Linked DNA regions of Cricetulus griseus. Each later gene encodes a partner of the first gene's protein in a complex. Links are inferred from orthologs where the notes say so. Each region holds a gene or a part of one and is shown in the gene's direction. Other genes may lie near its edges. The genes, in order: Gtf2e2, Ercc3 and Polr2k.

Region 1 (4,043 bases):
TCTGCTTACCTATGTCCTGCTCTTTAATAAGCTTAAGTGGGTTTTGTTTTTGTTTTTTTACATCAAACCCCAGAATAGACAAGTTTTCAGGTATCAGCCTGTCTCTGATTAGCTTTGGTGATTTCATTGTGTTCACCTGATCTTTTGGTCAGTGGAGGACTCTGGAGGCAATCTTTTTTGAAGCATGACCATGTATTTGTATGACTGTGGTTCAGCAGTGAAAGGGCCACATAGAGAACTTCCTTGCTGTGTGTAGCTTGTATTGTGCTGCAGTTTAATTAGTCCTTATTGGTGGTCAGGCCTTAGAATGTATTTTGTCTTTCTTAAGGGTTTGCAGCACCCTATATTCTGGCAATAAGAAGGCCTGTTTTCTTGTATCTTAGCTAATAGATGCATCAGACATTTTTACACTCTCCTGATCTGATAGGGGAGGAACATCGTGGTAGAAGTTGAGTGTCTTTTCCTGTTTAAGGGCACTTGAATTTTCTTTTTCTTCTGTTAATCTGTGTTTCCCTACAAGTTTTGTTTTTTTCTTTTTAATTGACTCTTGCAACGACTAGAAAAATTTGTTGTTGCTGTTGTCCTCATCAATCTCAACACATCTTCATCTTGTTATGTAGCCTTTATTAGTTTTGAACTCATCATGTAGCTGGTCTTCAACCTGTGATTCTCCTGCCTCTCAGCCTCCCACATGCTGTGTATCCCCACTCCTGGTTTAAGGTTAGTTTGTGATTTTTTTTTTCTTTCTCAGTTTATCATTTGATTTTTATCAGTCTGATTTTGTATGATTTCATGTTCAAGATTCATTTATTATGAATACAGTGTTCTGCCTGCATGTATCCCTGCAGGCCAGAAGAGGGCACCAAATCTCATTACAGATGGTTGTGAGCCACCATGTAGTTGCTGGGAACTGAACTCAGGACCTCTGGAAGAGCAGCCAGTGCTCTTAACCACTGAGCCATCTCTCCAGCCCTGATTTCATATTCTTGATCCTGGTATTCATGCTTACTACTTCAGATAATACATGGTGTACATTCCTGAAAAGATTAGTTTATGTCTGACTTTGACTTAATGCACTTAACATTTGAAATCTTCCCTCAACAGACACGGCATCAACGAGGAGATACACATCCTTTAACTTTGGAGGAGATTTTGGATGAGACACAGCACTTAGATATTGGACTCAAGCAGAAACAATGGCTAATGACTGAGGTGAGAATAGTTTTTTTAAAACTGTTGTAAAAAAAAAAAAAGCTAATTACAAAAAAGGGGTGTTTGCTACAGCTATCTAGAGTTGGTTCTTTTTTTCAGGGGCAGGGGAACGGTGGCTGGAGATGAAACCCAGGGCCCAGCATGTGCTAGGACAGCCCACTACTGATAGAACACTCCAGCTTGTAGACATGTTTTATCAAATTTTTAAGTCATCTCCAGCTTGTAGACATGTTTTATCGAATTTTTTTTGGGGGGGGAGGTGGAGCTGGGGGATGTGTGTGCCTGTGTGTGTGTGTGTGTGTGTGTGTGTGTGTGTGTGTGTGTGTGTGTGTGTGTGTAGGGGATGGGAGGGAGGAGGGAGGCAGGGAGAAAGGGGCAGGAGATAGGGTCTCATTTTGTAATCCAAACTGACTTCAGACTCAGGGCAGCCTTCCTGCTTTACCTGCTTTAACTTCATGAAACATGCCTGGCTCAGAGTGTTTTTTTTTTTTAATAAATACTATAATCTGATAATGTTTTTTACTTTTTCTTAAAAGACTTGATGTGTAGAGCCTTTGTTTAATTTAAACATACACATCCCTGTAATTTTTTAGCTGTTTTCATATAAATTTGTTTTAAAAATTTTAAGGCTACTTTAAAATGTGAAGCCAGTGTACCAATTTTGTTTTTATAAATAGTAGTTTGAATTATTAAACTCCTAACTTTATATGCCTATAAATTGTATATTGTATATATGCTTTATTTATTTTGCTTTGTTTTTCAAGACAGGGTTTTTCTGTGTAGCTTTGGAACCTGTCCAGGCTGGCTTGGAGCTCACAGAGCCTGCCTCAGCCTCCTGAGTGCTGAGATTAAAGGGGTGCACCACCACTGCTTGGCTCTATATGTGGTTTAGAAAATTTAATTGTGATGTTAGGGACAATAAAACATTTTATTGTGTTATTACCACTGTATAGTCTGATAAGTGAATTGTCTTTAGTTTCTTAGGCAAATGATCACATATGCTATGTTTAAATATATGTACCATTTGAAGAAAGCCTGAAACAATTGCCGACCATGCCAGTTTGCCATCGAATGACATATCATCTGTTTGGGTGTTTGTTTCTTTAAATTGCCTACTTTTCAGGACCAGTCTGAGGATCAGATATTAGCTGGGATGTAGTGGTGCACGCCTGTAATCCCAGCTCTTGAAAGGGTAAGGCAGGAGGATGGAAAGTTCAAGGACATCATTAGTTCCAGAGTGAGTTCAAAGCTGCTCTGCGCTACAGTTAAAATTAAAAACAAACAAACAAACAAAAACCCAAACAAACAAACAGTACAGAATACCCACAAAATTACCAGATGTAATAATTTCATTGATTTATTTGAGGCAGGGTCTCACTCACTAGATCCTCCTGCCTTTGCCTCCCAAATGCTGGGATTAAAGACATGTGGCACCATGAGTGGCCTAATTCACTTAATTAATTTCACCAAGCAAGGTGTGATTCTCTGTTTTTGTAATATAAAATGATTTGAGCAAACCCAAATCATTGGAGGTCATAGTCTTCTATCAGTTATTTGGCCATTGCTCGAAGCAGAACCTGCCTGAGATCATTGGTTTTTATTCTTTAAGCTTTTTTTTTTTGAGACAGGGTATCACTGTGTAGCCCTGGCTGTCCTGGAACTCAACTGTGTAGATCAGGCTGGCCTCAAACTCACAGAGATCCACTTGTCTCTGTCTCCAGAGTGTTGGTGATAAAGATGTGTGTAACCACTCCTGGCTTAAATGTTACTCTGTTGTATAGGCTGACCTCACACTTGGCAGCAGTCTCTTGCCTCAGACTCCTAAATGCTGAGATTATAGTAGGTATGAGTCACCACAATCAGCTTATACCTATGATTTTTTAACTTAAAAATGTTTAGACACTGCTGTGATGTTCTCCCATTATAATGCCAATATATGATAGAGGAGGCATGGGCATACCATGTTCACTGTGTCATTAATAGGTTATTTTTTGATTCCTACTCAGTTTGTCTTCTAAAAGAATAAGGGTTCTTCAAAGAAATTGTAATACAATGAGTTTTCTCTCTAAAGAATGTATGCAAATAGTGTACAGTGTAGTTGGAGTTTTCTTTGGACTGCCAGCTTATGAAAGCACATGAAAGCTTGGCCTTAGTTTAGGCTTGTCCCACTAGCTCTTATAACTTAAATTGACCTGCTTCTGTTAATCTTTGGTTTACCATGTGGCTTTTACCTTTGTTTAATTCTGTATATCCATTCCCTCTGCGTCCCTCATTGACATAATTTGCACATCTAGATTCCCCCTCCTCTTCCTCTCTCTCCCTGGAAATCCCACCTATCTTCCCTGCCTAGCTGTTGGCTGTCCAGCTTTTAATTTACACCAATCACAGCATTACATCTTTTCACAGTGTTCACATATCCCACAAACATACATTTTTTTCTTTTCATCTTAAATAAGAAGCAAGCACTATGCTGATCACCTGTTCTGGGATCCTGGATGTCTAATAGTCTAATATTTTAGCTCTGCAAGTTTATAGTCCATAAATACTTCAATTTGCCCCTGTGTTGGGTAATATTAGAATTTAAGAACATACACATGAGGTTTCCTTTACTAAGTAAAACGTAATTGTGGTGTTATCACAGGCTTTAGTCAACAATCCTAAGATTGAAGTCATAGATGGGAAATACGCCTTCAAGCCAAAGTACAACCTGAAAGATAAGAAGGCCTTGCTCAGGCTTCTGGATAACCACGACCAGCGAGGACTAGGAGGGATCCTGCTAGAGGACATAGAAGAAGGGCTCCCCAATTCCCAGAAAGCAGTCAAGGTACTGT
Region 2 (4,043 bases), on another chromosome or scaffold:
CAGATTCTCCAGAACTTCAAGCACAACCCCAAAATCAACACCATCTTCATCTCCAAGGTGTGTGGTGCAGGCTGGCGGGGCAGTGCCTCACTCTTCTGGACATGGTTCATACATGCTGAAGGCCTCCTGTGTGTGCTTACTTTCCTGGCCCAGCGATGGGGTTAGGGAGGGGCAGCTCTGGCTAGTGTGAAAAGTAACTTAGGGTTCTTATGTCTTGAGGTTATCTGTAAGGGCTTTTCACTTCTCAGGTGTGTTGTACCTCTCCCTGGGAAGTAGAGATTTAAATTTTATTTCCTTTGTCTTTCTGGCTCTGGCAAAAGCAGGTATTAGAATGAAGCTTCCTTTTTGGAACTGGAGATGCTGTGTGTTTGGGAAGCTTCTGTCCTGGTGTCTGATGTGCCTTGATGGTGGGTGGCCAGTGCCACAATGGACTTGGTAGGCTGAGCTTCATCATGGCATCACTGTTACCATATGACCCTTTGTTTTTTGTTTATTTTATTCTATTCTGGTTTGCCCCCCACCCCATTCCCCATGACAGAATTTTTCTGTGTGTATCCCTGGCTGTCTTGGAACTTACTCTGTATACCAGGCTGGCCTTGAACTCACAAGGATCTACCTGCTCTGGAGTGATAAGACTAAAGGAGTGTGCCACCACTGCCTGACCCGTGGTTTAAATGAGGTCTTTTTATTTTTTTTCACTAATGATCTCTTTTCACCTAAAAACTTTTGATATATGTGAACTGTCTGGGCTTGGGGTTCAGCAGGGCACTGAAGTGGATGCTCTTTTGGGTTAGATGTTTGTTAGGAGAGTTCCCTACATCATGGCCACACAGATAGATGGCAGCAGCACAGCAGGAGCTCTGAGAATAGTTCAGGCCCGAAAGGCAGAGTGGGAGTCTGGAAGAAGGTTTCACAGCACAAGCCTACAGCCAGGCTGTCCCTGATCCCAGGGAGGTGTAGCTCTAGGGGTGTGTTGTTGAGGTGTATCCATTATACCAGTTAGCTGGCTCATGTTTTTAGAGTCTGACAACCTGTGAACTTTTTTGGGAAGTGAGAATGGCACCTGTCACTCTCCTGGAATCACTCACCTGGTGAGTCTGTTGACAAACTCATAGCCACACAGGGATCTGTCTCTGGTGCAGCAAGGGTGCAAGAGTGAACTACGAGGGTGGAGACATTTGTTAAAGATGAAAGTGAATTCTCCCATTGATGTGATGGACTTGCTTGCTGCTTTTACTAAAGAATTAACATCTCAGCTGATACCACAGGATGTACAGGATCCTGTTGTAGGATGTAGAACACTGTCAGTGCTTTCCAGAGTTGGTGGATATTTTTTGTAATTGCCAATGCTGAGAATGCAGTTTCACATAAATACATACTTCAGAACAACAGAAGTATGCTTGGGGCCACTCCAGAAATTGTTAGAAATTCTGTCCTAATCCCAAGCCCAAATTTGTTGAATGATTTTTTTTTAAAAATGAATTTCAAAAGTTATCCATTAAAATAGGGTTATTAAAATTAAACATTCTATCACAGTATAATACAAAGATATACAAATTTATTACTCACATGCTTAGGAATGATTGTAAGAAAATATTAATTTGTTTTCCATAAATAAACCATTATGTAAACGCAGAAAAGTTTGTGCAATTGAGGTATTTTAAGCAGCATTTATTTGTGTTGCAAAGATGATGGCAAGCACAGTGTGAGGTGTATGTGTTGTGTGTTTGGAACCAAGGCTATAGCGAGATTATGCATTTAACTAAACATGCAGAAACCTTTAAAATAGTTTAATTACATTTATTTGTTTGGTTGGTAGGTTGGGAGAGGGTGCTGTGTTGTATGTGTGGAGGTCAGAGGACAGCTTGTCCTTCTACTACACCTGCTGAGTCACCTTGGACACGATAACCCATAGTGTAAGGAGCTGGATAGCATTTAGTCAGGTGAAGATAGAACTAAAGTCTAGAAGACAGGAGTGTTTCCAGTCTGGTGGCCATGGCTGGGTACCTCTGTGGTGTGAGCTGAGACCCCAGTGAAGGAGCCAGCTCTCAGTGAGGGTCTGTGTGAGTAGTAAAAGTGCATTGTTCTACTTGGGCTGCTGCAGTTGTCAGTGTTCATCAAGTAAGACAGGTTTTTGTACAGACCCATTTCTGTAGCACAAAGATAAAAGTAGTGGCCAGGTTCTGGGGAGGTCATTCTGAAGTTCATTGTGTCCTTGACAAGAGGAAGAGAGGATGTTTCTATAAATTATCTCCAACTCTGACTTAGTCTTAACCAGAGATGTATGGGGAGTTAGCTTGGTGGGAGAGCACATGCTTAGCATGCCTGAAGCCCTAACTCCATTCCTAGAACTGCAGGAATTTAAGATTGAAATTCTGGACTAGTTGATATTCTTTTTGTTCTTACTATTCCCTATATAAAAACTCCCAGACCATAGCTCCTTTATTTCTGTAGGTCGGTGACACATCCTTTGATCTGCCAGAAGCAAATGTCCTCATTCAGATCTCCTCCCATGGTGGTTCCAGACGGCAGGAAGCCCAGAGACTGGGGCGGGTACTCCGAGCCAAAAAAGGTAAGGCTGCCTTGCATCTGCTGCCACAGGCTGGTGGATGGCCTCTCACCACACAGGTTAGGAAGAGTGGAGGTGACCTGCTGGTGAGACCTTGATGGGAAGGTCCCCAAGCAGAGCTCAGAGCCCAAAGTCAAAGTCTTCATTATTTCTCATGGCACAAGGGATCCATGCTCTCCACAGAATCTTTAAATGGCTCCCTTTTTTTTTTTTTTTTTTTGGTTGGTATTTTATTTTTGGGTTTTGTTGTTGTTGTTATTATTATTAGTAGTAATATTATTATTTTATTATTTTGGTGGCTTATCAAGACAGGGTTTCTCCATGTAGCCCTTGCTGTCCTGGAACTCACTCTTTAGACCAGCTGGCCTTGAACTCACAGAGATCCCCCTCTGTCTCCCGAGTGCTGGGATTAAAGGCATGCACCACCATGCCTTGCAGTAACTTCAGCTCCACTAGATCTTAACACCTTCTTCTGGTCTCTTTAAGTGCACACACATGGCATATACTCACACATACCCACAAACATACACATCAAATCGGAAATAAAATCTGGGCCATTCGGTGGTGGTACACGCTTTTAATCCCAGCACTTGGGAGGCAGATCTCTGAGGTTGAGGCCAGCCTGGTCTACAGAGCTAATTCCAGGACAGCCAGGGCTACACAGAGAAACTCTGTTTCAAAAAACCAAAAAAAGAAAGAAAGAAAATGTGCAGATGAACACTACTGTCTGAAAAGGCTCCTCTAGCCTCCACACTGCTGTTCTTCTCCTTGAGAGATGGCTCTCTGATTCCCACTCTCACTGAAGTTTTTCTCCAGGCTTTAAGGGAAGCCACTTCTTCCCTTTAAGGCCTCATATTCTATCACCGTATATTGTAGCATTTCTGTGTGAAAGCTTTCCCTTCCACCTTTGAAAGTGCCTGCATTTACTTACCATACCAGGGTCACCTGATAGGACCTGAGGAAGGAAATCAGGGCAGGTTAGAGGGGCCACAGCACCTGTAAGGCTGTGACATTTCTTCAAAAGAAGGGCAATTAGACTTTATACGTTTACCAGAAACAGAATATAATTGTCAATTGTCAAGATCAATAAAGTTGTAGTTGCCAGGATACAATGATGTTTGTAAGCTCTACATGGTACATAAGATTAATGTCTAAGACCAATTGTCCTGTCGGGTTTCCACGCTTTGTTGACTTCTGAGGGAACATACAGAGAAACACAAGGCGGCCTGCAAGTTCACTACCTGAGGGAGTCCATCAGTCTCTCAGGAACTGGAAGGCACACTGTGTCCAAGGATCCATGAACTCTAACCTGAAAAACCCATGATGCCTGTCTCTAGGCCAGGCCAGGCCAACTCCATGGTTCCCTGCAGACCTTGAGACTCAGCCATTGCCTTGAGGCTCTCTCGCTATACTAAACCTCATTCCTAAAAGGAACTTAGGTGTTTGCTTTCCTTTGCAGACCAATTGCTGCACG
Region 3 (4,566 bases), on another chromosome or scaffold:
GTAACAACGAAATCTTAGCCGGGTGGTGGTGGCGCACACCTTTAATCCCAGCACTCAGGAGGCAGAGGCAGGCGGATCTCTGTGAGTTCGAGGCCAGCCTGGTCTCCAGAGTGAGTGCCAGGACAGACTCCAAAGCTACAGAGAAATCCTGTCTCGAAAAAACCAAAAACACAAAACAAAGAAACAACGAAATCTTAAAATCTCAGACGTCTAATGTAAGCCCCCTGGAAGCTCAGGCCTCCAGAATCCTTTCCCAGGACTGCGGCCATCCCAATCATCATGAGGAGTCGGAAACTTGATGCAAACAGCAAGAGGCTTTAATGAAAGGTAGACGTTTGTACGAAGGGGCTCTCTCAGCATGCAGGCTAGAGAGCAGCCCCGTCCCCCAGGCACAGGCCTTTTTAAAGGCAAAAACCACAAGCTTAGGGAGGGGTGTGACCAGAGTCACAGGTGCCTAAGAGACCCTTTGTCTTGAGGAGAGGGCTGGGAATCAGATGGCCTCCTGACCCACCAGCTGTAAAACCTGCAGACCTCAGGATATGCTTAGCTTGCTTGAGCAAATGGTACCTATCTCTTTGTTTCACAGGGACACTTAATTGTTAATGATTGACACATTGGCCGGTGGGGCAATCTGTTTTTTTCATGAGCCCCTCGGGGAGGGTGGCCATCTGGGAATTCTTGGTACCCAGTTATATTATGGCCTTGTAAGGGAGTAATTGCTTGCGGCTGGTAAATTCCAGGCCCTAAGTCCTAATAGTGGCCTTAGTTTCCGAGTTAGGCCGCCCTACATTCAGTTTGGAGAGTTTCCTTATCTGGGCTATATTTCTTTGCTAATTTTTAAGTCTTTCACTAGCAAGTGAGAAGCCACACCACCCTTTCTCTACAGCCGGGGCTTAGCCCGGCAGACACACCTGACCGCCCTAGGATTGGGGAGACTTTGTAGCGTGGCTGAGGGCGAGCGTTTAACAGGCTGCTGGGCTGTGTGCGGAGGAAGCAGCTCAAGCGACCGTTTTCCTGAAGATTCACCCCTGCGAGCCACCGAGCTAAGCCAACGGTCCTGAAAAAAAGTATTTTTAATTGACATCTCCGGGGCCTGGGGGAGAGCCGCGCGCTGAAGGGCAGCCAAACAAAAGAGAACCCTGTGCAAACGGCGACGAGCAAATGGCGACGAGCAAATGGCGACGAGCCCGAGTCTCGAACCCGCGACCGCCGCCGGAGCGAGAGCTGCTTTCGGCTTCCGCCGTCGCCTGTGCCCAGCCCGGGCTCTCGGCGGCGGAGGGGACGGGGCGGGGGCGGGGCTCCTGCGCGTCATTAGGCAGCGCCGGAAGCGCGCGGTCCGCGCCGGTAGTGAGTCCGTCACTGAGGACGCGGGGGAACGTTTGTGTGCGTACCGAGACTCTGCTTGGAGCCGCGGAGGTGAGAGATCGGTCTGAGGGCAAAAAAACTGGCTTTAGAAGGTTTTAGAAAGTTCCCGGGTGCCCGGGAGAGCTGGCTCCACGCCGCCTGGGCGCTCGGGAAACGGAGGCAGGGGACTGCCGCCTTCAGCAGACGGACGCCCGGGCTTTGGGGTTGGCTTGGGCGATGAAGTGAGTTCCGGGCCAGCCTGGGCTACCAAGTGGGGAGCCTCTCAAAGAGCCAAATAAACGTAAATAAATGGTCGGTGACTGGGCTGGAGGGGCGGCTCAGAGGTTAAGAGCGCCGATTGCTCCTCCAGAGGTCCCGGGTTCAATTCCCAGCACCCACATGGCAGCTCACAGCTGTCTGCAACTCCAGTTCCAGGGGACCTGACACCCTCACACCAACGCACATAAAATAAAATAAATTTAAAAAATGATTTATGACAAGATCCCCGGCGGAGTTAGCGGATTTTTGTGGGTTTTTTTTTTTTTTAGTTTATTTGTTGTTTGGTTTTTCGAGACAGGGTTTCTAAGTTTATTTTTATTTTTTGTGCATTGGGTATTTTGCATGGATGTCAGCTGGGTGCCCTGGAACTGGGGTTGCACACAGTTGTGAGCTGCTATGTGTGTGCTGGGAATTGAACTCAGGAGGAGCAACCGGTGCTCTTAACCTCTGAGCCATCTCTCCAGCCCCCCCCCCCTTTGCTTCTTAGTGTCGGGAGACGCTGGGCACACAGAGAGCTGTGCTTAGCCTCGGTTTCCCCGAGTGTAAAGAGTGATGCCCTCTGGCACCTTCAAGAGTGTCGTAGACCTTCGAGATGGATTCTGTGTTGTTGAGAATGTGTTTCCTCCTTCAGACCCAGCCCACAGTTGGTGGGGAAGGGGGGGTTTCAAATAAGGAATTATGATTTTTTTCCCCCTCATTCTGTAATACTGGGGTTTGATCCTCGAGCCGCTGTGTTCTGGGCAAACATTCTACACCTGAGATTTTCTCTTCACCCCGGAATCAGGACCTTGCGTAGCTGCTGGGGAAAAGGGAGCCTGGTTGGTTTTGTGTGATGATCTTGTTATTCAAGCTTTGGCTCTGATTTCAGGCACTAGCAATGGACGCGCAGAAAGACGTCCAACCCCCAAAGCAGCAGCCGATGATATATATTTGCGGAGGTAAGATTAACATTTAAGTAGGAACGTTTTTTGTTGTTGTTTTGGTTTTTTGGTTTGTTTGGCTTTTTTTTTTTTTTGCTTTTGTTTTGTTTTTTTGAAACAGGGTTTTTCTGTGGCTTTGGAGCCTATCCTGGAACTCACTCTGTACACCAGGCTGGTCTCCAACTCACAGAGATCCCCCTGCCTCTGCCTCCCTAGTGCTGGGATTAAAGGTATGTGCCACCAATGCCCTGCTTAAGTAGGAACATTTTACCTCAACTTTCCATATATGAGTACTGATCTTCAAAGTTATAAAGCGGAGCACTCAGGAGGCAGAGGCAGGGGGATCTCTGCGAGTTCAAGTGAAACACTTTAGCATCATTAATGTAAAAGTCCCTCGTTAAGATTTGTCTTTTCATCAGGAAAAGGTACGCTGCCGACAGCTCTTTTCTTTCCTCCTTGGTGTATTTAGTTTCGGGGCTTTGACTTGCTCTGGCGAAGTCTGTGGTTATATTTGGTTCCCTGTAGTGTTTCTCTTTCAGGCATTGACTGAACGTGTTTTATTCCCTAGAGTGTCACACGGAAAATGAAATAAAGTCCAGGGATCCAATCAGATGCAGAGAATGTGGATACAGAATAATGTACAAGAAAAGGACAAAAAGATGTATCCTTCTGACTGGGCTTTCTAAACGTAAAGAGGAATAACTAATACTCGGTTGATAAAGACCAAGTTCTGACAAAAGTAGCAACTTTTGGGTTGTTTATTTTTCTAAGCAGATTGAATGTGACTTTATTAATGAAGAGTTTATTAACTGAGAATGTGGGGGGCTCTGAAGGACGTAAATGTATATTATTTTAATATGAATTATTTTTCACCAAACTTGGAGAAAAGAGGCAGGCAGAGCTTTGTGAGTTCAAGGCCAGCTAGAACTACTAAGTGAGACTCAGTGTCAAAAAAAACAAATAGGGGCTAGAGAGACTCGTCAGCAGGCAGGTAAGGGCATCGGCTGTTCTTCCAGAGGACCTGTGTTCTGTTTCTAGCACCAACATAATTACTCATGATCCTCTGTAACTCCAGTTTCGGGGGTCTGATCCCTTTTTCCGACCTCCACCTGTACAAAGGACCCAAGTGTGTGTGTGTGTGTGTGTGTGTGTTTAAAAAACCCTGTAAGTGATTTTAGCTTTTATTTTACTTTTTTTTTTTTAGTTCAAATTAGAAACAAGCCTACTTCGATTGTCAATCCCTGCTCCCTCCTCTCTCTAGCCCTTCACCAACTCACCACATCATCCCCCCCTCTGCTCCCCAGGGAGGGTAAGGCCCTCCATGAGGTATCCCCAAAGTCTGTCATATCGTTTGGGATAGGGCCTAGACCCTCCCCCATGTGTCCAGGCTGAGAGAGCATCCCTCCACGTGGGATGGGCTCCCAAAGTCCTTTTGTACACCAGCTCTTTTTTTTTTAAGTAAACATGATTAGTGTTTTCGTGCCATTCATTATGGGCTCTAAGTAATTAAAAAATTAATCAATTTGGGTTTATGTAAATGTTTTTAGTTTTTTCAGGAATTCTTTGTTAGAAGTAGTCACTCTTGATTGTTAGCTTATGGGTAATCTAAAGTATGGGAGGAGAAATTAATAACCTAGTGGAAAATAGGCCTACAAATTAGTCCAAATACTGAAATTGTTTCAGTGTAACTGACACAGACTCTCAAAATCATCAGTGTTTCAGTGTTTTAAAATATCTTTTTCGTATTATCTTTTAAAATTTACCTATATTGTTATCTTCTGTGTAATAGAGAGTGAACTAATGAAAATGGAAGCTGAGTATTTTATTTTTTTAGATTATCTCCAGTGGCCATAATGAAGTTCAGTCTTTTGTTCGTTTTATATGAAACAGCAAGCTTGGTGCAGAGGTGGTGACTTGGAAGCCTCAGTTTTACATAGTTTTTATGTACTGTTTAAAATCCTTAACTCAGTCCAACAGTGGTGGTTTTTGATGCCCGATGAAGAGTGGGAATTCAGGAGTGTCT

What was found.
Region 2: Gtf2e2 (region 1) and Ercc3 share a complex: the UniProt entries of both Homo sapiens proteins name them as parts of the TBP-based Pol II pre-initiation complex. The link is inferred for Cricetulus griseus from reciprocal best matches to the Homo sapiens genes GTF2E2 and ERCC3.
Region 3: Gtf2e2 (region 1) and Polr2k share a complex: the UniProt entries of both Homo sapiens proteins name them as parts of the TBP-based Pol II pre-initiation complex. The link is inferred for Cricetulus griseus from reciprocal best matches to the Homo sapiens genes GTF2E2 and POLR2K.

Annotation. Positions count from the first base shown.
Region 1 is NW_023276807.1:51,052,779-51,056,821, reverse strand, and holds part of Gtf2e2 (transcription initiation factor IIE subunit beta), read left to right. Parts: intron 1-1,104; coding exon 1,105-1,212; intron 1,213-3,853; coding exon 3,854-4,036; intron 4,037-4,043. UniProt on the Homo sapiens protein: Recruits TFIIH to the initiation complex and stimulates the RNA polymerase II C-terminal domain kinase and DNA-dependent ATPase activities of TFIIH. Both TFIIH and TFIIE are required for promoter clearance by RNA polymerase.
Region 2 is NC_048595.1:205,088,176-205,092,218, reverse strand, and holds part of Ercc3 (general transcription and DNA repair factor IIH helicase subunit XPB), read left to right. Parts: coding exon 1-57; intron 58-2,454; coding exon 2,455-2,572; intron 2,573-4,043. UniProt on the Homo sapiens protein: ATP-dependent 3'-5' DNA helicase/translocase. Binds dsDNA rather than ssDNA, unzipping it in a translocase rather than classical helicase activity. Component of the general transcription and DNA repair factor IIH (TFIIH) core complex.
Region 3 is NC_048603.1:15,287,909-15,292,474, reverse strand, and holds the start of Polr2k (DNA-directed RNA polymerases I, II, and III subunit RPABC4), read left to right. Parts: upstream 1-1,319; 5' UTR 1,320-1,416; intron 1,417-2,491; 5' UTR 2,492-2,500; coding exon 2,501-2,561; intron 2,562-3,111; coding exon 3,112-3,204; intron 3,205-4,520; coding exon 4,521-4,543; 3' UTR 4,544-4,566. UniProt on the Homo sapiens protein: DNA-dependent RNA polymerase catalyzes the transcription of DNA into RNA using the four ribonucleoside triphosphates as substrates.